2 linked regions of the Lonchura striata genome follow. The protein of the gene in region 1 purifies or fractionates together with the protein of each later gene. This does not show direct contact. Links are inferred from orthologs where the notes say so. Each region holds a gene or a part of one and is shown on either strand. Other genes may lie near its edges.

The links.
Region 2: the proteins of transducin-like enhancer protein 1 (region 1) and FOXG1 purify together in Homo sapiens (affinity purification with western blotting; 3 studies listed by BioGRID and IntAct, with this or other methods). This does not show direct contact. The link is inferred for Lonchura striata from reciprocal best matches to the Homo sapiens genes TLE1 and FOXG1.

What each region holds. Positions count from the first base shown.
Region 1 is NC_134642.1:25,608,412-25,620,362, reverse strand, and holds the start of transducin-like enhancer protein 1, read left to right. Parts: upstream 1-7,287; 5' UTR 7,288-7,620; coding exon 7,621-7,644; intron 7,645-7,962; exon of another isoform or gene 7,963-8,036; coding exon of another isoform or gene 8,037-8,051; intron 8,052-8,215; coding exon 8,216-8,316; intron 8,317-9,844; coding exon 9,845-9,908; intron 9,909-10,002; coding exon 10,003-10,047; intron 10,048-11,951. UniProt on the Homo sapiens protein: Transcriptional corepressor that binds to a number of transcription factors. Inhibits NF-kappa-B-regulated gene expression. Inhibits the transcriptional activation mediated by FOXA2, and by CTNNB1 and TCF family members in Wnt signaling.
Region 2 is NC_134608.1:27,997,004-28,008,962, reverse strand, and holds FOXG1 (forkhead box protein G1), read left to right. Parts: upstream 1-5,608; 5' UTR 5,609-6,083; coding exon 6,084-7,463; 3' UTR 7,464-8,450; downstream 8,451-11,959. UniProt on the Homo sapiens protein: Transcription repression factor which plays an important role in the establishment of the regional subdivision of the developing brain and in the development of the telencephalon.

The sequences.
Region 1 (11,951 bases):
CAGACAATATTTCTGTATCACATCTGTTCCTTAAAGATTCCTAAAGGCTGCTGCTTTCATACGTGGAGAACAGATACAAGGGTAGTATCTTCATGGACCTTAGTAGCAGCCAAGATAATTGCTGAAATGCCAGTGTACTTGGAGCCATCTCTCCCTCTCAGACAATCCCTTTCTTTGTACAATGAAACTTCCATCAGCCATTTCCACAAATGTTTTGAAAGCATAATTTCCACAAGACCATTTGCCTCAATGCTATTTCCCCTGTGGTTTTAAGTCTAAGAGTCTTTGGTGATCTGTAGACTCTTTCTAATGTTATTGACAGCTTAAGGAGAAAAACTTCCTATTAAACCTGTCAAAATACTATATATATGGAACCAAAACAGGATGGAAAAGTTCTAGTATTTTGCCAGGCAAGGAAAAATAGTATACCACAACTAGTCCACTGAAGTGCAATGATTAACTGTTCTTTTGTGGCAACCTTTCCTTTTAGCTCCTGAAAAGGCCGATAAAACTTCTAGACTTGCATGACGACATTGGTAAAAACACGTGTTTTGCATATGTATGTCACACACAACCTACTATTCTGTATGCATGGCCCTGATCTGGTGAAGTCTGACACAAAGACATCTTTTTTCAAGCAAGTATTGTCATGGACTTCAAAGGGACTACTTCCAGGAGTAAAACTTTGCCATGTGTGTGATGATAGGATCAGGGAGCTGGTATGATCGTACCATGATCATTTACTGTACAAAATAGACACAAACTGCTCCTTTAGTTGTCACCTCCTGCAATGGAGGCCTCATTCTGCACTGGCAAGTGGTCTTTATTAAAAAGGTCATTGACATTGTCAAGCAGCCTTTGAAAGGTGACTTTGCACCTAGAAGGTTATCAGGCCAGAGCCATGAAGTCTACAACAATTTCTCTGTCAATATTGTAAACAGGTAATACGTCTGACCTCTTTTCAGACTTAACAAAACACAGATGATTAAAGTTCTTCTGCTCCTCTTTCACTCTTCTGTCATCCATGTATACACTTTCCCTAAGCTTTGTCTGGAAGTACCCTGCAGAAGTAGTGAAGTTGAGAAAGAGCTACTTTAATTATAAGTACCACAGTAATGAATTCAAGTACACTCATTTATCATAAAGGGCTTCCCCATCTGTCTCTAAAGTATGCTCCAAAATGCTGTGTATTTGATAACATGAATGTTGAGAATTTAACACATTTCAGTTTTAAGCACTCCATTTTGGCTAGCTTTATGTAAGATTACACAACTGACTTTTGACTAAAGGAGCAGATTGGGGGAGGAGAGGGGAGTGTGTGTGGGGAGTGTGTGTGCGTGTGTGTGTGTGTGTGTGTGTGTGTGTGCATGTGTGTGCGCGCGTATGTGAATGTGTGTGGTCTCTTCCTAATTTATTTGCACTTCAACCCACTGGGATCAAGCTGCAATCCCTGTAGGCAAAAGAAGATTAGGGAAAGCGACTGACTGTTTTTTCCCAGACACAGAAGGGAAAATGACTTCTCAAGTACCGCAAGTTTTTCTGGCCACTGTACAAATTGTTCCTTAGTATGGAGAGTTTCCAAAAGACCTAATTAGCAACTCGCTACAAACATTTCTTTGCATTAGCTAATGATCCGGCTACACTTGTAAGCAAACAGTACCAACATATCTAATCAATGCAGAAAACCAACAGAATGCCTATTAAACATCTGGATGTAATTTTCTAGTTAGACTTAGAACAAAATGAAAACATATGCAGGTTTCTTTGATGTATGCCTCAACAAAGAAAGTATCGATAAAAAAAAACACACTGGCCAGTCAATGTGTCATTTTCATAAAGCCTGGTCATTTCTTTTCAGATGTTCCCAGTCTAATTTTTTTTTGTTTCCTGCAATCTCTAATTTTACCATACTGTGTGAAGCCAAAAGGGATTCTTTGGATCTGATTCTATTTGAGGTTTTACTGCTGCACGACCTGCTACTGACTTGTTTTTTTTTTTTAATTCAGCTCAGGGATTTTTTAAGGGTGAAGGAATGAGGGAAATGAATACAGTCATAATGGTAAAATGACCTAGTGCAACTTTTTGAACATTCTTGCCTACAAGGAAAGCTACTAATTAAAAAGAAATCAAATTACTAAGAGGGTATGGAATGGCTATTAGCCAAAAGACAGCAAATAATTAGAAATGTAATTGCTTTACCCTGCTCACATCATTTGCACTTCACAAATATATGAATATTTAAAAAGTGATATTGTTTTGCATGTCCTTATAATAATTACTATTCTTTCAACTGTATAGTCAGTCACTACTATACCACATGTATTGCATGATTCAGGGTTTTTTTTCTATTTTACCTACACCACATTGGCATTAAAACAAACAAACCAAATCCCAAAACAAACAAACCAAACCCTAAAACAAACAAACAAAACAGAATAACCCCCATGCCCCTTAACACATGCATATTTCTTTTTCAGTTGAAAATCCAGTGATCTATCTAAAACTTTGAAAGCATAAACTCTATTGAATTCTAGAACTGTCTCCTCTATTGACTTGCTCTTACTATATATAGAGTAGAAGAGTAGGACAAAACATACTATATTGTTTACTTCTCACCTGCAGCTAACACCTAGTGATTAACTTCATCAACATCTTTGTTTAATATGCCAGTTTGCACAAAGTTAAAAGAATATTGCTCATAAAAAGTACCATGAACAGTGAAGGAAAAGAATAAACAATGCAATAAACAGAACATCATAGTTTTGCTAAGGAATGGATGCTACATCTGAAACTCTTTCAGCGTATTTAACCTACATTTTGGACCCAAGCATGCTTTTTTTTCACTCAAAACTCCAACTGCTTCCAGTGTGAATTTTTGGTAGCCAGTTTAGGATTAGGCCTTTTGCTTTATGAGGTAGGAAGATGACACAAACATTTTTACAGTAAAAAACAATTTATTTCAAACAACAGAGTAAAACGGATGACTGGGCAGAACAGTTGGAAGGGTTAATACTGAAGGAAATATTTTTATTTTTGAAACCTGAGACAGAAATTTAAAAACAAGTATTTTTAATCCAGTTGGAGAATTGTGTAGAGTATATACAGCATTGTGGCAGAATGCTACCTACTTGAATACAACATGCTTAACCATATTTTGCTGCCTTTCTATGGAGTAAATAGTGAATATTGCCATGGAACGAGAATGTTCAGTTTCCTGGAATTAATCCAGATTTATACCCATCCAACAAAACGAATTTTTTTCATGCTTTAATGAGCCAGTGATGATGCATTATAAATTAGTTAAACATCAGATCATGTTGGTTATAATTCCTGCTATGTAATGTCAGTAGCTCTCATTAAAAACAAAACAAAACAAAAACAAAAACAAACAAAAAAAAAGAGCACATTTGATTCTACTTCTGCTTGTACAGCTCTTCTCTCTTAAATACAATGGATAAGATTCAAAATGCCCTTAAGTGTCTGATTCCAGAATCAAAGAAGGTTAAAAGCACTTGTTAATAAGAACCAGGAAAACAGAGCTTTTCTCCTTCTGTTAAAACATGCCTTGGATGTTTTAATGTTGACAAATATAGGTAACATGACATTTCAACTTTCATGTAGGTGAGCAATTAAGAAAAAAACCAAACCCCTTTTGTTTATGTTCCAAAACTTAGTGTTGTTTTAATGTCATATCTGTCAATGTCTCTTTAACAACTTGTGCCAGCAGGTTAAGCAAAGTACAACAAAACTTAGGTAATTGTTACATTATTATAGACTCCATAGCTACTAGATACACACACAAAGTATATAATCATAGTTTGCATTTTTATGGCACCTTTCATCTGAAGATCTAAGTACTTTAATAAGCATTAAGTAATTAAGCTTTCCATTGCCATGAACTGAGCAGTGAGCTGGCTTGTCCAACACAACAAGGGAAGAGCTGGGAACAGAATGCAAGACTTTAAGCTTTGCCTATGCAGGTGGAACACCAGACAAGTTTACACTCCCATCCTGGGAACCACAGTCTATCAAAGCTCACTATCAAGGATATTTTGTCACATCTCTTAGAAACCATTAAAAGTCCATGTTTATTTATGCATTCCCCAGGATGCATGCATATATGCATCATATGCATTAACAGAAACATACAAGCATATGTATAGGTACAGACCCCATTATATATAGACCCCATTATATATAGACCCTATTGTATACATATATACAGACATGCACGGAGACACAGATGTATCAGTGCTCATTGACAAAACTCTGCTGTCCTGGAACAAAGTCCAAACTTTTCACTGCAGAAGACTGAGACAATTTCACTCCCTTTTGTGTTGGATGTTTTTAAGTAAAACTGGGAATACAGAACATTTTGGGAATAATAATGGGAAATTATCACTCTGAAGGAGTAAAGCTTTACTTTGATATTGCAAAACATTAGATTTCCTATCAAATATTAAACACAGAATGCTCTTTCTTTAGGATACAAGATGAACCACAATGTAATTCTAAGGAAGCAATCTCTAAAGGCTAGTGGGGAATTATAAAAAATACCCTTACCATGTTTAAATGATGTGGTTCAACATTCTAAGACCTCTTTTTAGGCAGCACACAAGTATATACCAACAGCAAAAGTGTGTATTAAGGCAATGTCTTAAGTCCAGAGGTATTTCACACTTCATTGTGGAATTCTGCTATGAATAAGGTGCTTGCTAATAGAGGATATGTTTTGAAGTGTACTTCCCACTGCAAGCTATGTCACCATTTGTCATCTCCTCAGCAAGCACACAGAGCCTGTGGAATTTGTTTGACCCTCATCTATCTCAAGTGGGCCTATAAACCAAAGTTATTGACAGCTTTCCTCTATCAGACCCCTCTTAAAAAGAAGGCAGTTTTCCCCAAAGGACAGCTTCCGTGGGATCAGAGGGTCATTCCAACCAACACGGCAGTTGGCGTGCCCTGAGTCGCGCAAGCACGCGGGAGGGCTCATCCTTCCCTCGGCGTTTTCCACGGCGCGTTGTCAGCAGGTGCCGCGGCCCCGCCGCCGCCGTTTGGCGAACGAGGTGGGGCCGTGCGCCCGACCCACCCGCCGCACTGTCACGGGCGTCGCCGCCGCTCTGGGGCTGGGGCGCGGAGCGGGCAGTGCGGGCAGTGCGGTGCGGGCAGTGCGATGAGGGCAGTGCGATGAGGGCAGTACGATGCGGGCAGTGCGATGCGGGCAGTGCGATGAGGGCAGTGCGATGAGGGCAGTGTGATGAGGGCAGTGTGATGCGGGCAGTGCGATGCGGGCAGTGCGATGAGGGCAGTGTGATGCGGGCAGTGTGATGAGGGCAGTGCAGAGCGGGCAGTGCGGAGCGGGCAGTGCGATGCGGGCAGTGCGGAGCGGGCAGTGCGATGCGGGCAGTGCGATGAGGGCAGTGCGATGAGGGCAGTGTGATGAGGGCAGTGTGATGCGGGCAGTGCGATGCGGGCAGTGCGATGAGGGCAGTGTGATGCGGGCAGTGTGATGAGGGCAGTGTGATGAGGGCAGTGTGATGCGGGCAGTGCGGTGCGGGCAGTGTGATGCGGGCAGCGCAGGGGGAGCGGGCGGTGCGGAGCGGGCAGTGTGATGCGGGCAGTGTGATGAGGGCAGTGTGATGCGGGCAGTGTGATGCGGGCAGTGTGATGAGGGCAGTGCGGAGCGGGCAGTGCGATGAGGGCAGTGTGATGAGGGCAGTGTGATGAAGGCAGTGTGATGAGGGCAGTGTGATGCGGGCAGTGTGATGCGGGCAGTGTGATGAAGGCAGTGTGATGAGGGCAGTGTGATGCGGGCAGTGCGGAGCGGGCAGTGCGGTGCGGGCAGTGTGATGCGGGCAGTGCGGAGCGGGCAGTGTGATGCGGGCAGCGCAGGGGGAGCGGGCGGTGCGGAGCTGAGGCGCTGCCCGAGCCGGACGGAGCCGCCCCGCGGCTCCGGCGGAGCCGCCGCGCGCAGGCGCCGCGCGCCCGCTGCCGCAGCCCCGCCCGCGCGCGCGGGCCCCACGTTACTTTGACGGACAGCGCGGCCTCCCCGCTCTCCTTCCCGCCGACCTTCCCCGCCCCCCGCGGCGCCGCGCGCCCCGCGCCCTCCCATTGGCCGGCTCCGAGCGCGGCCGCCGCTCCGCCGCAGAGACGCGGCCCAGCGAGAGCCGGGAGGCGGCGCGACTCCGGCTCCTGCCATTGGGCCGCGGGGCCGCGCCGCGTCACGGGCCCACGTTGGCGGCGGGGCCGGCGATTGGCCGGCCGCCCCCCCGCGCGGCGGCGTGGGCGGGGCCGCGCGGCTGGTTAGCCGGCGGAGTGTGAAACCGCGTGCTAATGTAAGCGGCGCGGGCGAGCTCGGCGTGTCCAGCTCGGCCGCAGCCGCGCTCCGGTCCCGCCGAGCGCCGCCCGCCAGGCCGCCGCCTCGGCTTCTCCTTGCCCTTGGCCGGCGCGGAGGGGCCGGGGCAAAGGAAGCCGGTGGTGTTCCCGTTCGGATTTTTCAGCTGGGAGGAACTTTATCCCGGGCCACCGCGGAGGAGAGCGAGGATGAGGATGATGCTGCTGATGTTGCCGCGATGTATCGCGATAGGGGGGTTCTGGTGAGACGCGCAGCTCCCAGATACGCGCCCGCCAGTAAGAGGCTGTAGTGGTGGCTGTTGCACGAAGGAGCTTCCCGTCTGATTTGAACCTCAAACGAACGCTTTCATTTCTATTTTTTTTTTTCTTTTTTTTTTTTTTTTTAATCTTCCCCAACGGGGCTGGTTGCCTGGAGGCTAAAGCCAGCGAGCATCTTGAGGGGTTTGCTTTCCTTTTGTCCTGGGGACTTCTCTGCAACTAACGGCAGAGTCTGTGCTGCGTGTGTGGTACCCTTTCCTCTGCCCTCCAGCGTTTCGTGCATCTGCTATTGGAGCTGCTCCGATCCGCGACGTCTGTGCGAGAGCCCCCGCCCGCCTCCTTCCTCCTCCTCCTGCCTTCCTCCCTTGTTCATCGCCCTGTGTCTTGCGGGTGGTTTGGCCCCTGCGCCGACGCCTGGGAGCAACGCGTGCCTGCCTGGAGACTTTCTTCGCCCCCTCGGCTTGCGACGCTCCCGCCGCGGACACTGCGATCCCCTCCCTCCGGCTGGATTTTCCCCTTTTGACAAGGGGCAGAAGAGAAGAGTCGCCTCCGCCTGGGGTTTCCGGCCTTACAATCGCATCGACCACTGCGAGCCCGTGAAGGGGATTATTCGCTCCTGCCGAGGGGCGGCTGTTGCCTCCCCCCCGAGCCCCGTCGGGTCCCGTCCCGCCGCGCCCGGGCGTTGCGGGCGCCGCCCGCCGGTCGGAGCGCCGCCGAAAGAGCGCAGAGCGCTGGTGACCGTCCCAAGCGCGGCTCGTCCGCCTTTCCCGGCCATCTTCAGCCCTCCTTGGAACAACAGCAACAAAGGACGCCGCGGCTGGGGAATGTCCCCGCGGCGGGGGCACTGAGCCGCGCCTCGCCCCGCTGCTGCCCGCGGCGGCGGAGGGAAGGCCGTCGGCGGGTGTCGCCGCTCCGGTCCCCTTGGCGCACCGGGTGTGAAGCCGGGGCAGGGCAGGGCGTCTCGCCGCGAGAGCCGCGCTGCGAGGGAGACCCGCCGTGGCCGGAGCCATGTTCCCCCAGAGCCGGCACCCCGTAAGTATGGCTTGGGCCGCCGGTCCGGGGCGAGGGCCGGGCGGTCCGCAGCGCAGCTCCAGCTCGGTTGCTCGGCTGGAACTGGGGGGAGGGAGAGGAAGGTGCCCTCACAAGTTCATTCTCTCCGGGGTCGAGCGGCTAATCCTGCCTGCCGGAACGGCCCCCAGTATTTTTTGTTGCGTGGGCAACTTACTTGCCTTGGGAAGGACGGCGGGGGCTTGCCGCCGGGCCAGGCAGCATCCGCCAACACACAGCGCCCGGAACGGGGCTGGCTGTGCCTCTGCGGCGGGGGTCGGCGGGGAGGAGTCGGCACTTCCCGCTTTCGTGTAGACGGCGGCGGCAGGAGCGGGTGGGTCGGATCCGGAGGGCGGTTAACCTCGGTCCCACCGCAGATGAGGGACGGGAAGGTGGGTAACAAGTGCGCTGCGCCCCGGGGCGGAGGCGGACCGGGCCGGACGCTTTCTCTAGCCCTCCGCCTCGGCCGCGATGGACGGCGCCCCCTCCTCTTCCTCGCGGGGTGGCCGCGCAGTGTCTGAACGTGCATCTCTCTCCCGTGCCGCCACCGCGCCAGACCCCGCACCAGGCTGCGGGCCAGCCTTTTAAATTCACCATCCCGGAGTCGCTGGACCGCATCAAAGAAGAGTTCCAGTTCCTCCAGGCGCAGTACCACAGGTGAGCGGCGGCGGGCCGCCCCGGGACCAGGGACTACCGCGCGGTCCCCGCCGGCGCGGGGCTGCACCGAACGGGCGCGTCCAGGCGGTGGCGTGCGGCGTCGCGGCCGAGCCCCGCGGGGACCCCGCCGGGCCGGGAGGGGAGCGCGGGCGGCCCCGGCCCGGCGCGGGCTGCCGGGGGGACCGGGCGCGCACGGGGGACAGCCCTGCCCTGCGCGGGCCCGTGCTTGAACTGCCGAAACTGGAGCGTTCGGCAGCTCTGTGCGTTTGAAAAAACACGCTGTGTCTTGGGAACCCGTATGTGGAGGGGTCATTTCAGTGTATCACGGGAAGACCTGCGCCGGTTCTGTGGCACAGCGCGTTAAGGAGGCTACTTCTCCTGTTTGCTCATTTGTGTGTGGTGTTAATGCAAAAATTAATAAAATGCCAGCGTCCTGTGGTTGAGAGTCAGGAAGGACGGTTAAAACAAACAAGTACTCAGAGCAGTAACAAAGTTTACCAGAATCCTTGGAAGTTGCGGGATGCACGTCTCGTTGCTGCCCTTCTTTGTGGGTGTGTGCGTGCTGCTGAGGTCCTTCCAGAGATTTAGGGTACAGATTCTTTTTGACCCTGGACATGTGGTGTTAAGGAGCATTAATCTTCACTGATTTTGTACTTATGAGCACCTGGAATATTTGGACAGAAGTAAAAGCTTTACAGGTTTCCCAGTCAGAAATTGATTTGTTTTAGTTATGCTTCCTCTTCCTTTACCTATGATACTGTAGCGTTAACTTGCTTAAGCCATTCATTGCTTAGGAAATACAATTTAAACTCTAAACATCTGGCTTTGTAGCTGTGAGTGAAAAATACTGCTTGCACATGAACTGTTCAATAGGATGTTCACAAGTAACAGTTTTAAAAAAATCAGTTTGATAGAAAACAAAGGGAACATTGAGGCTCTCGGTGAAAGTAGTCAGAATTATATCATGGTTTGTGATGAGACATGTAAATGCAACTTACTTTTGTTTATGAAAACAAAAGTGGAAAAGAAACTTGCCAGTAAACGATACTCAGAATTACCAGTTTTCAAGCACTGGGCAAGGTAACATTTGCTAGAATGTATTTAAGGTAAGAATTATACTCGAGTTGTAATTGTAAATGTGAGTGGTGTTACTTGGCAGTCACTTACTAAATGCTGTGTAGAAAGAAATGCTTCTATTTTTATCTTTTTTACTCCTGAAAAGTACTTACAGTAAATTCAGATCCTATTCTAACTTGCAAGTTGCAGCACTTAATAGCAGCTCTTTGTCAAAATAGGAAGAGTGGATATGTTTAGTTTCTGTAGACAGTTCAGGCCTAATACAGCACTCAAGGCATGTTCTTTAAATTTCTTCTTTGGCCTTTTTATTTCAAGTATGATTAAGTCTTTCTATATTGCAAGTCAGTTTATTATTTTTTTTATTAATTAGCAGCTTATGTCAAAATACAAATAGGGAGGGTAGATGCCAAAAAAAATGACATGTTACATTAAAGCATGATCTATTTTGTAGCCTTAAATTGGAATGTGAGAAACTGGCAAGTGAAAAGACGGAAATGCAGAGGCATTATGTGATGGTAAGTATATTTGTTTTTATCTTTATTTCAATAAATATCTTTTAATATAATGTAAGTCAGCATAAGAAAATAACGTGTACTCATTTATTTGCAGTACTATGAAATGTCGTATGGATTAAACATTGAAATGCACAAACAGGTAAGACATTTTGTTTTCGAAGCCGCAAAATCTGCAGTCTGTCTGGTGCATTTAAATGTATCTGTGCTGTTTATGGTCAGATGACGGTATCGTGTCTGAATCAATAGCCTGATTTGTAGCCTGATTAGTAGTCTTTTGCCTACCTCCTGTCAGATAAGGTGTAGATTAGGTTAAGTGGCAGCACCTTTTTTGGTATTGGTTCTGAAAGACTTTGGCATAAATAGAAAAGATCTTGTAGCTGTGATTTTAAAAATGCAGTTCAGTTCTTTGCAAGTATGAGATATTTTGAGTTGGGTTTCTTTTTGTTTGTTTGTTTTGTTACTGGTATAGGCGCTGACATGTAGAACTGATCCTGTGTCTGTGTAACATATGTAGTCATAGTTACTCATATCCCAGCCTTATAGAGGTATGAACAGATTAGTGACTTGGAAAGATCTAGTTATGACTATGAGTTTGCAAGTTCCCATAAAATTCACACTTATGGCCACTATAATGGTGAATAAAAAGAGTATTGAACTGGAACAAGACACTAAGGACCTCATAAGAGAAGAAAAGCTAAATGATTGCACAGCCCAGAGGACCCTCAATTGAGTAGTCATTGTCTGCCAAATAAAGCATTAATGGCAGGGTGTAAGTATTCTGTAGATATGCTGACATTCACTTTTTCATCAAGATGCTAGTACAATAAGTCTTTCAGAAATCGATGGCCTCTTAAAAAAATTATCATTAGATGAAGTTGCGCAGTTGGACACATTTCAAAGTGCAACAATACAATTCTTTCTTGATGTGTATGTGCTATTTCATCTAAAACTCTTGTTTCATTAAATTAAAGAGCATGGCTGACCGGCTAGGGCACAGCGAAGAAATTGATTAGTTCAGGCTTCAGATCTTCAGTATATTCAAAGACATTCATTAAGCAAGTGAATTACGGAGTTGAATTTTGCTTTTGTAACTCTGAACTCTTTGAATTTTTTTTTTGTTTGTTTTGTTTTCCCCTAAAAATACCATATTTGGTAGGATGGCATTGTAATTCCATGATAGCTTTCTATCTGCAAATCTGGGTAGGTATTCTTTAAGGATTTAGAAGGTTTTTTGCTTGTTTCAATTCAAAACACCATTAAAAGAAGTAACACAGAGTTTACCAGACTCCATCAAACTTGTGTGATGCACTCCTTGTTGCTTCTCTGCCCTTCAGATTTATTTTTTTAAAATAATGCACCAAATAACCTGATGATACAGCAAGCTTAGTATTTGACTGGGTTCTGTACTGTAGCTTAACAAATGTTCTTGTGGCTTGTGTTTTAGAAGAATGTCAATTTTTCTGTGAGGTGATTTTTCTGATCTTTGTGCTTTCAAGATTTTTTTCTTGCATTTTTTTCTCTTCAACAACTTCTTGGCATAATGTAACCCCTGAAGACGCCAGTATCTGTATAGGAAGATCATTTGCTGCAGAATGGATGTTATTTTAAGGAGCTCTTTGAAGAGAATGTGTGATTTCAGTTAGTGTACTAGGAATTAACTTTAAGTAAAATCAATTAAACCTGCAGGATTAAAGTGGGTGAGAACTAAGGTTCCCACTTTGACCTTAACATATGTATAAAGGTTTAATGTTCTGTATGTATGGCAATTAGAATTATGTACCCAGTAGGCGGTGATACTTCGGAAGCTTTTAAGATTTATGACAGAGCATTATATCTGTGTTAGTTGTAGCTGGGGAGAATAGTGCACACTTGCTCTGTGCATGCTGTTAAGAAAATAATAGGCTTTTGAAGGTATAAATACATTTCTCTGGATGTGAGTGTCAGATACTATGCTTTTACATGTTAAGTAATTCTAATTTCTGCTTCATGCTAAAGGCTATTGATTTAGATGCCTCCAGTGAGGATGCCAAATGGTGTTGCAGT
Region 2 (11,959 bases), on another chromosome or scaffold:
AAATCTTCAGCTTTTAATTAAGGCGATTTAATTCAGACCTCTCCACTCAGCGTAGTCGCCGTGGGAAATGTATACTCCAATGTTTACCCGGATCTCTTTCTGTCACTATTCTGTCTTGTTTTACGCTTACGACATCAGCAAAGCTTTCTGGCCCCTACAGCCATTGTTTCCCATTTCGACGTTCTCCGTTGAACCTCTGCCCGCCCAAGAAACTCCCTAAAGTTCAACGGGAGGGAACTCAGTGCACTTAGTTTATTAATGTCATTGTTTTAAACTCTACCTCTCCCCTAGTTGCTCAGGCTTCTCCAAGGTATACAGTGCCCCGCTGGCGGTTCTTTTTGGTACAGTGCAGCCTCTCAAAAGATCATCGGATGGAGAAACTTAGCTCTTTTTGAAACATTTAAGTAACTGAGCAATTAGTTCTGAATGGGGTGGGGGGAGGGAAGACTAGAGAGCTTAAATGGGGGGGGGGGGGGGGGCAGGGGGGAGACACACAGTACAGCTAGCCCAAAAACAACAGGGATGTGTATGCATGGGAGGGAAACTTAAAAGGTTTGTATTTAAAGTGTGCTTGCAAGGTCTTCGGCACAATATGTGCTGCTCTCCTCAAAGGGGCACCGACTGCCAATAACCATTAGTCATCCAGTAAGGACCTTTCATTACAGATTTATCTTTAGGGGCATTTCCCAGAAGGGAACATAGCTGCGGATTTCAAACCCGGTCCAGTTCCAGTTACACAGTGCGTACCTGCTGCAATAGAAGGGAGAGATACTTACCAGAGTTTCGGGAACGCGCGGATAGCACCAAGGTCTCTGCAGTGCTCCTTTCCTCTGCGGAATACTATCTTGCATCCGAGGCAGTTCCCAGTCTATATTTGATATTAACAGCCTCAAATACGAGGCTCTCCCATAGACATTTTTTTCCAGGGTTTTCAAGCAAATTTCTCGGTGCCACAATGTTATGATGGAAGGATGCTGAAATGACAGGCCTTGTAGACGCTTGTCTTAATCATCGGCTTCTTAATTTAGTTTTAGTGCTGTGGTTTTGTGTGTGTGCGCGTGTGTGTCTGCGCTTGTGTGCGCGCAAGAGAAGCCTCTGACAACCTGCAGCTTCCTAATGACTGACGAGGCAGGGCTGCTGCAGCAAAGTAACACTTCCCTGGTGTGAAGACCTCTTACTGGGAAGTTTAGTTCACTACTGTTCTCGCAATCCTAATCGTATAACTTGTAACTAAAACCCATGGAAGAAGGATATAGCATGCTAAATAGACTAACTTCTAATCACTAGAAGCTGTTGAGGATTAACTGGAAGCTGGCTAGAGGCGGACACCTAAACTTAAATCTACAAATGCAGAGAGAAGTCTGGACCATTGAATGCTTCTTCCTCTCCCTCTTTGCCTCCATTCATCCATCCACCTTCAGTCCCATTCACCCCTCTTCAAAATGTTTGACTACCTCTCTCTCTTTGTTAGCGCACTGCTCCGTCCCCATTCGCCATGCCTTAGCAGCAGGATATCAGTATCTGCTGAGCAGTCCTTACCTTAATTGCCCAGGTAACCTGGAATAAATACGGCAAGCTTATAGTCAAGGGGGAATAGAATTATATAAGCGTACATGGAGGCATTTACTGTACCGAATATGATATTACTGATTGTTAAACCAAAGTGTCCGGACTCGTTTCATGGAAGCATGATGCCATCGAAGCGTGGTTACTAAATACCCTTTCTTCATGGCTGAAAAAAAAATCTCATTCATTTCTTAAGCTGTCAGTACATTTTAGCAGCTTAACCGCCTTGAAAAAGCCCGAGAGTACCGAGCCACTATACCCGTGTGAAGGGGGATTGAAGGCTGAAGCTGGGGCGGGGGGCGGTGCAAGGGAAGTACGCTATATGCATTAAGTGTACATTGGAGAGGGTGTTTTCTTCTTTTGGCCTTTAATTTTAAAACGAAATAAAAATAAAATTAAAAAAAAAAAAAAGTAGGGGGGAAGGCGTGGGCAGAAAAGTATGTGGTTGAAACATTATCCCTAAGAGTTATACCCAAGAGCTGCACGGAGATCGCTGCTGAATGGCACTTCAGCCAGGACGTTTCAGCTCAGCTATTCAGCCCCATCCTGACCCCGGAGTGGATACCCTCAGTCCATCCCCGCCGCTCGGTTCGGTGGATCCGCAGCCTCGTTGAACGTGCAGGTGAGGCATCATTAACACTCTGCAGAGAGCCGGCTCCCCTCTGCACACCCACCCGTATTTCACAGGGCTGGGGCTGTGTGCCTCCGTTCCACGCACAAGCTTCTATTCCAAACACTCCACAAACCCTGCCCTGTTAGAAAATGCTGCCATGAGGGGTTTTCTTAAGAGAATTCGGGTTTAGCCAGAGTTGAGCGGTCAAACCTGCTGTTCATACAGCGCCCCGATGCACAAAGGTACCACTGAAGTGGAGTCGTGTTCAGGGCAGAGCTCAGGAAGGAACTGGCATTAGAGTAAGACTCCTGCATTTCCAAAGTAAATAGTTTTATAAACGATGCCTTTTCTGCCAAAAAAAAAAAAAAAAACCAAACAAAAAAAAAAACTCGAAAGTTAAAGTCCAGTTATAATTGACGTGGCTTCTCTCACATATCTTTTTCTCTCCCGTAAACAATGAATTAATCTTCATGGACGTAAAAAGATATGTACTACATATTGGACAAACATTTCCTTTTTTGGTAGAACTGTATATTCACAGCATTAAAAAAATATATATATATAAATCCTAAGTTTGTGCACAGAGTTTTATTCCGCACCCATAACAAATGACCAAATGTTAAATCTAGATCGTCAAATGTTTTTAAAGTGTGCTTCTTGCAGTGTTAGCCTTTTGCTCGGAAATGCAAAAAAAGATAAAACTTCTATTTTCTTCCCTGCTACATTTTCATCGCTGATCACAACACAAAGTAAACTCAGCTTTGACCTAAGAAACACCTCAAGGCATTAAAATTTCAACAGGCAATGTCAGTGTTACATTAAACAAGAACTCCTCCAGTTCGCTACAGAGCTGGGATTTGAATAAAACGTTCAATGTTAACAAACAATACACACGTTTGGCACTTTGTGTATTAAATGGATCAAAGAGATTTGATAAGGCACAATACACCATTTGTACAGACCTGATTGAGTTAATATAATATCAGCAAATTTTACAACGAAATGAATCTGTTTCTTTTCTTTGTGTTTAAAACCACCACAGATTACAAATTTTAATGATCTGAAAATGTTTGGTATACAAAATCATGCTTATTTCAGTATTAGCAAAAACACAAGAAATTTTTCAACACAAACACCCAGCTGTGTCTATTTTAAAAGCAGTTCAATGACAGCTTGCACTTATGAGCATGCAATCAGCTAATTTCGCTTTTTTTTTCTTCTGTGTTAATCAACACTTTCCTTCCTGCATATCAGAGTACAAATAGTATAGTTACTCCACATCAGTAAATGTTTATGTAACCTGTCCTTTCTCAAGAATCTGGTTACACCGAATCATTACATGCTAGACCGAGTAGGAAAACGCACTGGGCCCAGCCACCCTAATGGGATCCTAGTGCACCATAATGACACATATTAGTTAATGATCATCATAATCATAATAATACGCAGGAAGCTTACCTTTCCTCTTACCCCTTGCTATGGTAAAGTCAGATAATATCCTCCTCATTGCACTCTTCGTCAAGAAATCCCATACATTGACTTCAGTGTTGAGAAACGAAATAATTATAAATTGTCTTGATAAAAAAAAAATACAAAACAAACAACCTGAATTTCTAAAAAAAAAAAAAAATCCAAACTAAACAACAAAGAAAAAAAGAGTGGTTGTTGATCATTAACTTGTGTGTGTGTGTGTCAGTAGCAACCTGTTATGAAATTGGTTAAATAAATACAATTGTGGTAAGGTCATTCGAGGTTAATCCAATGCCCAGAGTTCATGCCATCCCCAATTGCAATTGTTTATTACCGGTCCATTTTACTTGTCCTCGTTATTTACACTCTCTTTCCCACACTCGCTTTTCCTCCCTCCCTCGTACACAGACATACACAAACACATATATAAAACGCGCGTCTACACATCTGCACAGAACTACATTCATTGCATTGTGCTCTAACCTGAATTTCCTTGGGATAAGTTGTTTTAGCTGGGGTTGAGCTGCACGCATTGTTTCTACGGAGCATCTTTTCCTCCAGCACAAACGTGAAGCAGCTTAACGCGGTGCTAGAGGTTTACCACAGCTTTGGTCTGAATGCGATCAGCACGCTCTCTGTCCATTACATTTCCCCTTCTTTCCGAGTTAAGAAAGCTGCGCGATGTATTTCACTTTGTTTTCGCTTGTTTTTGGTTTTTTTTTTTTTTTTTTGTTCCCGTGTTGACAGTATAAACCGATATGGTGTGGACGATTAATACCCAACCCTTTGGTCCTGGCAAAGCGCAGCCGTAAACCCGAGCCTGTATCACCGCGTCTACTTGTGGAAAGCGGCGGTGCCAGACCCTTTCCCTCCCCAGGAGAACCCGGCCTGCTGCCGCCCGCCCTATCCCTTATCCCAGCAAAACTAAACCCCGCGGAACTCAGACCCCGTGGCCAGGCCCACGGGCCGGGCCGGCAGGAAACCGCAGTGTCGATTTCATGGGCTACCAACACCAACATTTATTTTGTACGCCCGTGCGCGGCCTGTGCGCTGGCTCGGTCAGCCCGGCAGCGCCGAGCAGGAGGCGGCCGCAGCCCGGCGCCGCGCGGGGGAAGCGCCGCCCGAGCGGCAGCGGCGCGGGGCTGAGGGGCGGGAAGCGCGAAGCCCGGCTCCGGCCTCGGTGACACGGGGCGAGAGCAGGGCAGGAGACGGGCCGCTCGCTCCCGAGCCGCCCAACTCACAGTCCGGAGAGCGGCGGGCACGGCCCGGGCGGCCCGGTCTTCCCCAGGCAGGCCGCGGGCAGCGGCGTCCGGGCCCCGGCCGCTGCCGCAGCCCGGGCGGGTCCCGCCGCCCGCGTCCCCTCCGGACGATTGTTTTGTTTTCTGCCTCGGCAAAATAACAAACAGAAATAGCCGGGCCTGGGAAAATAAATTCGCCGAGCGACTTCGGCGGGATCCGCGAAGTAGTACCTCCGCCGCCACCGATGTGCCACGACCGCTTCACCCACCCGGCCTCCCACCCCGCCTCCTTCGTCGCCAGAGGAAGGGGCAAAGCGGATCGTGGCAACTCGAGTCCGCCGGCGGAACCGGGGGAGCGGCCGGGCCGGGCCGGGCCCGCCGCGGCGGGACGGGCGCGGGTTGTTGGGCGCGGGGGGATTTGTGCTGGCGGCGGCGGCCGGGGGGGCACGGGGCGGGGGGCGCGCGCACCGCGCGGTGATGCGCCCCTGCGCCGGTATCCCTGCGCCGCGGGAGCCGCGGCGGCGGCGGGGGCGGGGCGCGCGGGGCGGGGCGGGGCGGGGCGGCGCGCCGCCATTGGCCGGCGGGCGGGCAGACGCGCGGGCACGCCGCCGGCCCTGATTGGGCGGCCGGTGGGAAAGGTTAAACCAAAAAATGTTTTACAGCCCCGGTGCGTGCCGGCAGCTCTGAAATTAATTGCGGCCGGGGCGGGCTGTATCGCCCGTCTGCCTCGCTCCGCGCCGGCCCGCGGCGGCTGCTGCTCCCTCCTGCCTCCCCCTGCGCTGCCGTGCCGGGGGAACCGGGCACCATGAAGTAGCTTTTTTTTTTTTTTTTTTGGTGTGTCTGTGTTTGTGTGTTGTTGCCTTTTTTTTTTTTTTTTCTCTTTAGGTTTCAGAAGGTTTTTTTCCTTTTCTACCTTTTTTTTATTTTTTTTCCTCCGCTCCGGCTCGGTTTGATTTTTCTCTGATCGGTGATTATTATTACCATTATTTTTTCCCTCCCCGGCGGTTCCTGTCCGTGCTACATGACTTGCCAGCGCTTGAGACTGCGGTCCAACTGCGCTGCCGCCGCCGCCGCCACCGCCGCCGGTGGTGCCGCCGCCGCCTCGGCCACCGCCACCGCTTCGGCCGCCGCCTCCGCCGCCGCCCCGCGCGCAGCTCCCTCAGCCGCCGCAACTTTCCCCCTCAGACTAGTGTGTGATGTTGGACATGGGAGATAGGAAGGAAGTGAAAATGCTGCCGAAATCCTCCTTTAGCATAAACAGCCTGGTGCCCGAAGCCGTCCAGAGCGACAACAACCACAGCAGCCACAGCCACCACAACAGCCACCACCCCCATCACCACCACCATCACCACCACCACCACCACCACCCGCCGCCGCAGCAGCCCCAGCGAGCGGCCGCAGCCGAGGAGGAGGACGAGGAGAAGGGGCAGCACCTCCTGCCGCCCCCCACCGCCACCGCCTCCGGCGCCCTGGAGGTGGCCAAGGCGGACATGCTGGCGGGCAAAGGCGAAGCGGGCGCGGCGGCGGCGGCGGCAGCGGAGCTGGAGGAGAAGGAGAAAGCGGCCGAGGAGAAGAAGGGGGCGGCGGAGGGGGCCAAGGACGGGGAGAGCGGGAAGGAGGGGGAGAAAAAGAACGGCAAGTACGAGAAGCCGCCGTTCAGCTACAACGCGCTCATCATGATGGCCATCCGGCAGAGCCCCGAGAAGCGCCTCACTCTCAATGGCATCTACGAGTTCATCATGAAGAACTTCCCATACTACCGGGAGAACAAGCAGGGCTGGCAGAACTCCATTCGGCACAACCTCTCGCTCAATAAGTGCTTCGTCAAGGTGCCCCGCCACTACGACGACCCGGGCAAAGGGAACTACTGGATGCTGGACCCCTCCAGCGACGACGTCTTCATCGGGGGCACCACCGGCAAGCTCCGCCGGCGCTCCACCACCTCTCGGGCCAAGCTGGCCTTTAAGCGGGGCGCCCGGCTCACCTCTACCGGACTGACATTCATGGATAGGGCAGGATCCTTGTACTGGCCTATGTCCCCCTTCCTCTCCCTGCACCACCCCCGGGCCAGCAGCACTTTGAGTTACAATGGGACCACGTCCGCCTACCCCAGCCACCCCATGCCCTACAGCTCAGTGTTGACTCAAAACTCCTTGGGAAACAACCACTCCTTTTCCACGTCTAATGGGTTAAGTGTTGATAGACTAGTCAATGGAGAGATACCTTATGCCACTCATCACCTCACAGCAGCAGCTCTGGCCGCCTCAGTGCCGTGTGGCTTGTCAGTTCCCTGCTCCGGCACCTATTCCCTAAATCCCTGCTCTGTAAATCTCCTAGCAGGACAGACGAGTTACTTTTTCCCCCATGTTCCTCACCCTTCAATGACTTCTCAAAGCAGCACTTCAATGACGGCCAGGGCAGCCTCCTCCTCCACGTCGCCACAGGCGCCCTCCACTCTCCCCTGTGAGTCCTTAAGACCTTCTTTGCCAAGTTTTACAACGGGACTTTCCGGAGGACTTTCTGATTATTTCACACATCAAAATCAGGGGTCTTCTTCAAACCCTTTAATACATTAACATCCATGGGATCAGACTGTAAGTGAACATTTTACACACATTTGCATTGTAAATGATAATTAAAAGGAAAAAAAAAGCAAAACAAAAAAGTCCAGGTATTTTTTATTAAGTCCCCCATTTTCTGTACGTTTGTTCAGTCTTTAGGGTTGTTTATTATTCCACCAAGGTGAGGAGTGTCAGCAAGGTGCAATGTGGGGAGATTGCATTGTAGACTATGAAGTTTGGAAGACAAAATTATAGTAGAATGTGTATCTAAATAGTGACTGCTTTTGCAATTTTTTTACTCAAATATGATAAGTCTATCACTAAAAGCCACCCGATTCTCCATGTTTGCAGTATTATAAGTTATCATGGATATGTCGGTGGGTGCAGACCGTGAAAGGAAAAAAAAAAACCAAATCAAACTACTAAATTTATGAAAACTATTAAAGAAACCTTAAAACATAATTTGTATTTAAGCAGAATTAATACTGAAAAATGCCCAAGATCTAGTTTTGGCCATTTATTATTTTATTTTTTTCTTTACCGAATTGCTTTTTTTTTTTTTCTTTTTTTGTTCATTTGTTTGTTTGTTTACTTTTAGACCAAAGATTGGGTTTTAGAAAATGCACTCAGTGTACGAAGTAATTTAAAAAACAGCAACATTATTTCAGTTTTCAGCACTGCCCGTTCAAATGAATCAGAAGGGGACAAAATTAATGATTGCCTTCAGTTTGTGTTGTGTATATTTTGATGTATGTGGTCACTAACAGGTCACCTTTATTTTTTTTCTAAATGTAGTGAAATGTTAATACCTATTGTACTTATAGGTAAACCTTGCAAATATGTAACCTGTGTTGCGCAAAAGCCGCATAAATTTGAGTGATTGTTAATGTCGTCTTAAAATTTCTTGATTGTGATACTGTGGTCATATGCCCGTGTTTGTCACTTACAAAAATGTTTACTATGAACACACAGAAATAAAAAAATAGGCTAAATTCATATATACTTGATAGTTTTTTTGTCTCTTTTATTAACCTTAATGTGGCAGAGGCTTTAAAGTTACAGTGAGATCAGAGTGCTGCTTATTGCACAGTCCACCATTTTTCACATGCTCCTTTCTTTCTCCCCCCGCCCCCTCCCATGCTGTCTTTAACTGCAGTATTTTCAAATGTAAAGGATCAAGGTATTTAGTCAATCACTACGGCCACTATTTTGATGTCCATTTTGGGGCAGAACTCTTATAAAATCTGCTTTAAAATTGTTAGTAGGAGGCAGGGTGTTTTACTAAAATCTGACTTAGGCTGAAAATGCTTAGCATTGCATATGTATGCAAATATACATGCATACGTATACAATTTAAGTATATAAGCACACGTTGGGAAAAAGGCCAAGGTGCATTATTCTATACGTACGTGTTCTTCCTGCAATCTCTGAAATGCATTCAAAGACTTACTGTACTGAAATAAATTAATTTCGTCTCTGATGATTCGAGATATATTAGCAAAGGATGTGTATGTGTGCGTATACACACACACATATCAGCTATAATATGATCGTTCGACCAAATTTAACCAGCTATGATATGTGTGTGTATAAAATATAACCCTTGTCTTAAAGGAGGGCTCTTCCGGAAGTGTCTAGGCTGTATGTATTTATGTACTTTCCGTGCTGCGGACACTTTGGCTTTAGGAATGGTGCAAGTAGCGGTATTTTTTGGCAGCCGGCTCTCCGCTGTGCCCCTCCGGCCGGGCGGGGGGGCAGGAGCCGAGCAGGGCGAGGTGAAGGCGCAGTCCACGGCAGGGAGGCAGGGCGCCGGGGCCTCACGTGACACCCCGCCTTGCATACCGATGTTTAAACGTTTTAGGGGGTAAAAACCACCAACCAACCAAACAAACAAACAAAAATAAATCAACAAATCAAACCTGTGTGGATGCACTTACATGTAAAGTTTTGAAAACTCGTCTCTTTTTCTCTCAGTGCCCGCTGAAGCCCAGTAATTCACGCGGGCGTCCCTAAGAAAGCTGCGTTGCCCGGAGAATCAATCTCTTAGTTTCGAGGGGGCAACGCTGCTAGTAATTTTAAGACGCATTTAATCCTCGAAAGAATTGGTGTCTTGATGAGTTTAGGGAAGCCTGTAAAGGCCACAACTCTTGAAAATAATTAGAAAACTTGTGCAAAAGGTTTAGGAACTAATTGGATCCCGCGGTGAGTCCGCAGAGGACAAGTTGTTCATTTGTTACGTTTGTAGCCCAAACTGAGCTCTGCAGCAGTGCAATAAAACGGCGACTGCTCACAATAGGCCGAATGAAAAATAATCTCTAGGTCGGAGATGTTATCGCAAACGCTTTAAAGAGCTTATCTTGGAAAGACAGAAAAGAGGAAGAAAAAGGAAAAAAAATGCCAGGGGGTGAATAATGAAGCAGTAGAAAATCTGAATTCTCGCAAACGTGTATTTGTCGTGCTGAAAGAATAAGGGGAGGAAGAGGGTATCTCCCGAAAATAAGTAATATATAAACAGATGCAAACAGATCTACAGGAAAGAGAGAGAAGTGAAAGGTTATGGATGAGAGATGGGACACCCTGCTTTGCACTGTGTGGGGGAGAAGGAGAGAACTCTCTGATATTCTTAGCTTTCACTCTCACTCCTGCAATTCAAAATTAATCATCACTATGAGAAAACGATTGCTTTGTTTGGGGATGGAGAGATGATACCACCACTTGGAAGCTCCTACCCTCCCCCATTTTCTTGACTCTATTGTCATTAAAACAAGTGATGCAAAAAAAAAAAAAAAAAAAAAAATCAAAAACTCTTTTTCAACAAAACTATAGGAAATAATAAAATACAATAGGTGTGATTTAAATACTTGAAGCCTAGAGTCCTCATTCTGTGTACTAATGCCTAAACAACTTAAAAGAGCAGCATCTGCTGCAGCTGACAAAGAAAATGATTTATTATTTACCACTTGCATCTGATTGTATGCTGTAGGAAATCCAATGGCACATACGTAAAATATTATTTTGTTTGCAATGTAAAAAATAAATCTGCTGTCAGTGTACTGAAGGGAGGAAAGAGACAGATCAGGCTGGAGGAAAGCACAATCTCACCATGTCAGAGTTTGAGGTTGGCTAATAAGCATTAATTAGATAAGCATGATGCACAATAATTCCTGGAAAGGGTAGCCTTGATGTATGTCTCTCTAGACTTAGTTTAAGCCAGCACTCGCTCCCAGAGCTCTCCTTTAGGCTCGGTGTTGCAAAGTATTGCCTAAGGAGTTCAGGTGCCACAGACTTTTCACTCTTTCTCTTACACCGGGCGCAGGGGTGATTGCTGAGATGGTAATTTATTCATGTTTCCATGCACGTTACCAGGAATTAGACTATTTTTGTAAAGGAAGAAAAATAAGTACAATCCAAAACAAAAATAAAATAACACCAGGAAATCGCTAAACTTGTCCTGGATTGTGTCAGGACTTCTAAGGCCCCAGATATTTCTTTACCTCTGCCTGCTCCTCAGACAGAGAAACCCTTTTGTTCGCTGAGGCTGTTCGTTGCCCAGGCTCGTTCGGCACTGAATTTGAGGTAGTGGCTTGTTTGTTTTTCTTTTTGTTGTTGCTTTATTGTTGGGGGGTGGGGGGTGGGGGTGGGGGGGGGGTGTGTGTGTTTGGTAGTGATGGGTTTTTTGTGGTTTGATTGGGTTATTTTTAGGGGGGTGGTTTAGCATACAGCATTTCTGTTATCTGATACTTTTTTCCGCAATGATTTATGTGTCAAATCCTCAAGCTAAGCTTTTAGGATTTTTTAAAACATGTACATTTCTAGGATGATGCAGTGTCTTAGCATCGTTTCTTTAGCATTTCCTAATTTAGAGTGTTTATGGGGGACGGGCGGTCTTTATGGAATTAAGGAGCTATTGTTATATTCTTAGTTGATGTTTGAGGTGATTAACTTTGCTCGCGTAGATCGTAGGAGAAGAAATCTGCTCATCAAGAAACATCCAATTATGACTTTAAGACTGCCTTTGCAAACATGTTTGAAGCATAATAAACAGTAACTCGAATTTTCAACGCGATATTTGGCCAACAAATTTTTGTCATGTTTTAGATATCTTCCTTTTGTTACAGTAAAATATCATCCCTTATGTGGAATGTATCCTTAAGAAAGGGTTTAAAAGAAAGTGAACAAAAATGTAATTTGGCTTAAATAGCACAAAACTTCTGCTTGGGGGAGTGACATTTTTAAAAATCTGATACTTGAAAAAAATAGTTTAACCGGGACGTCATTTTGCTCTTTATAACTTCTTCTGATGATTATTAAGATTTATGTCAGAAATTATGATTCAGGTACACACCCCCTCACCACTTGTGTTAATATGAGGTCTCAATCACCATGTATTCAGTATTCACTCAAGCAAAACTCCCACTGAACTCCGGTTACGTTTTGACTGAGCTACATCAGAGTTTTGCTTAAGAAAGAACACTGAGCAAGACTTCTTTTATTAGCGACTTTATTCTTTA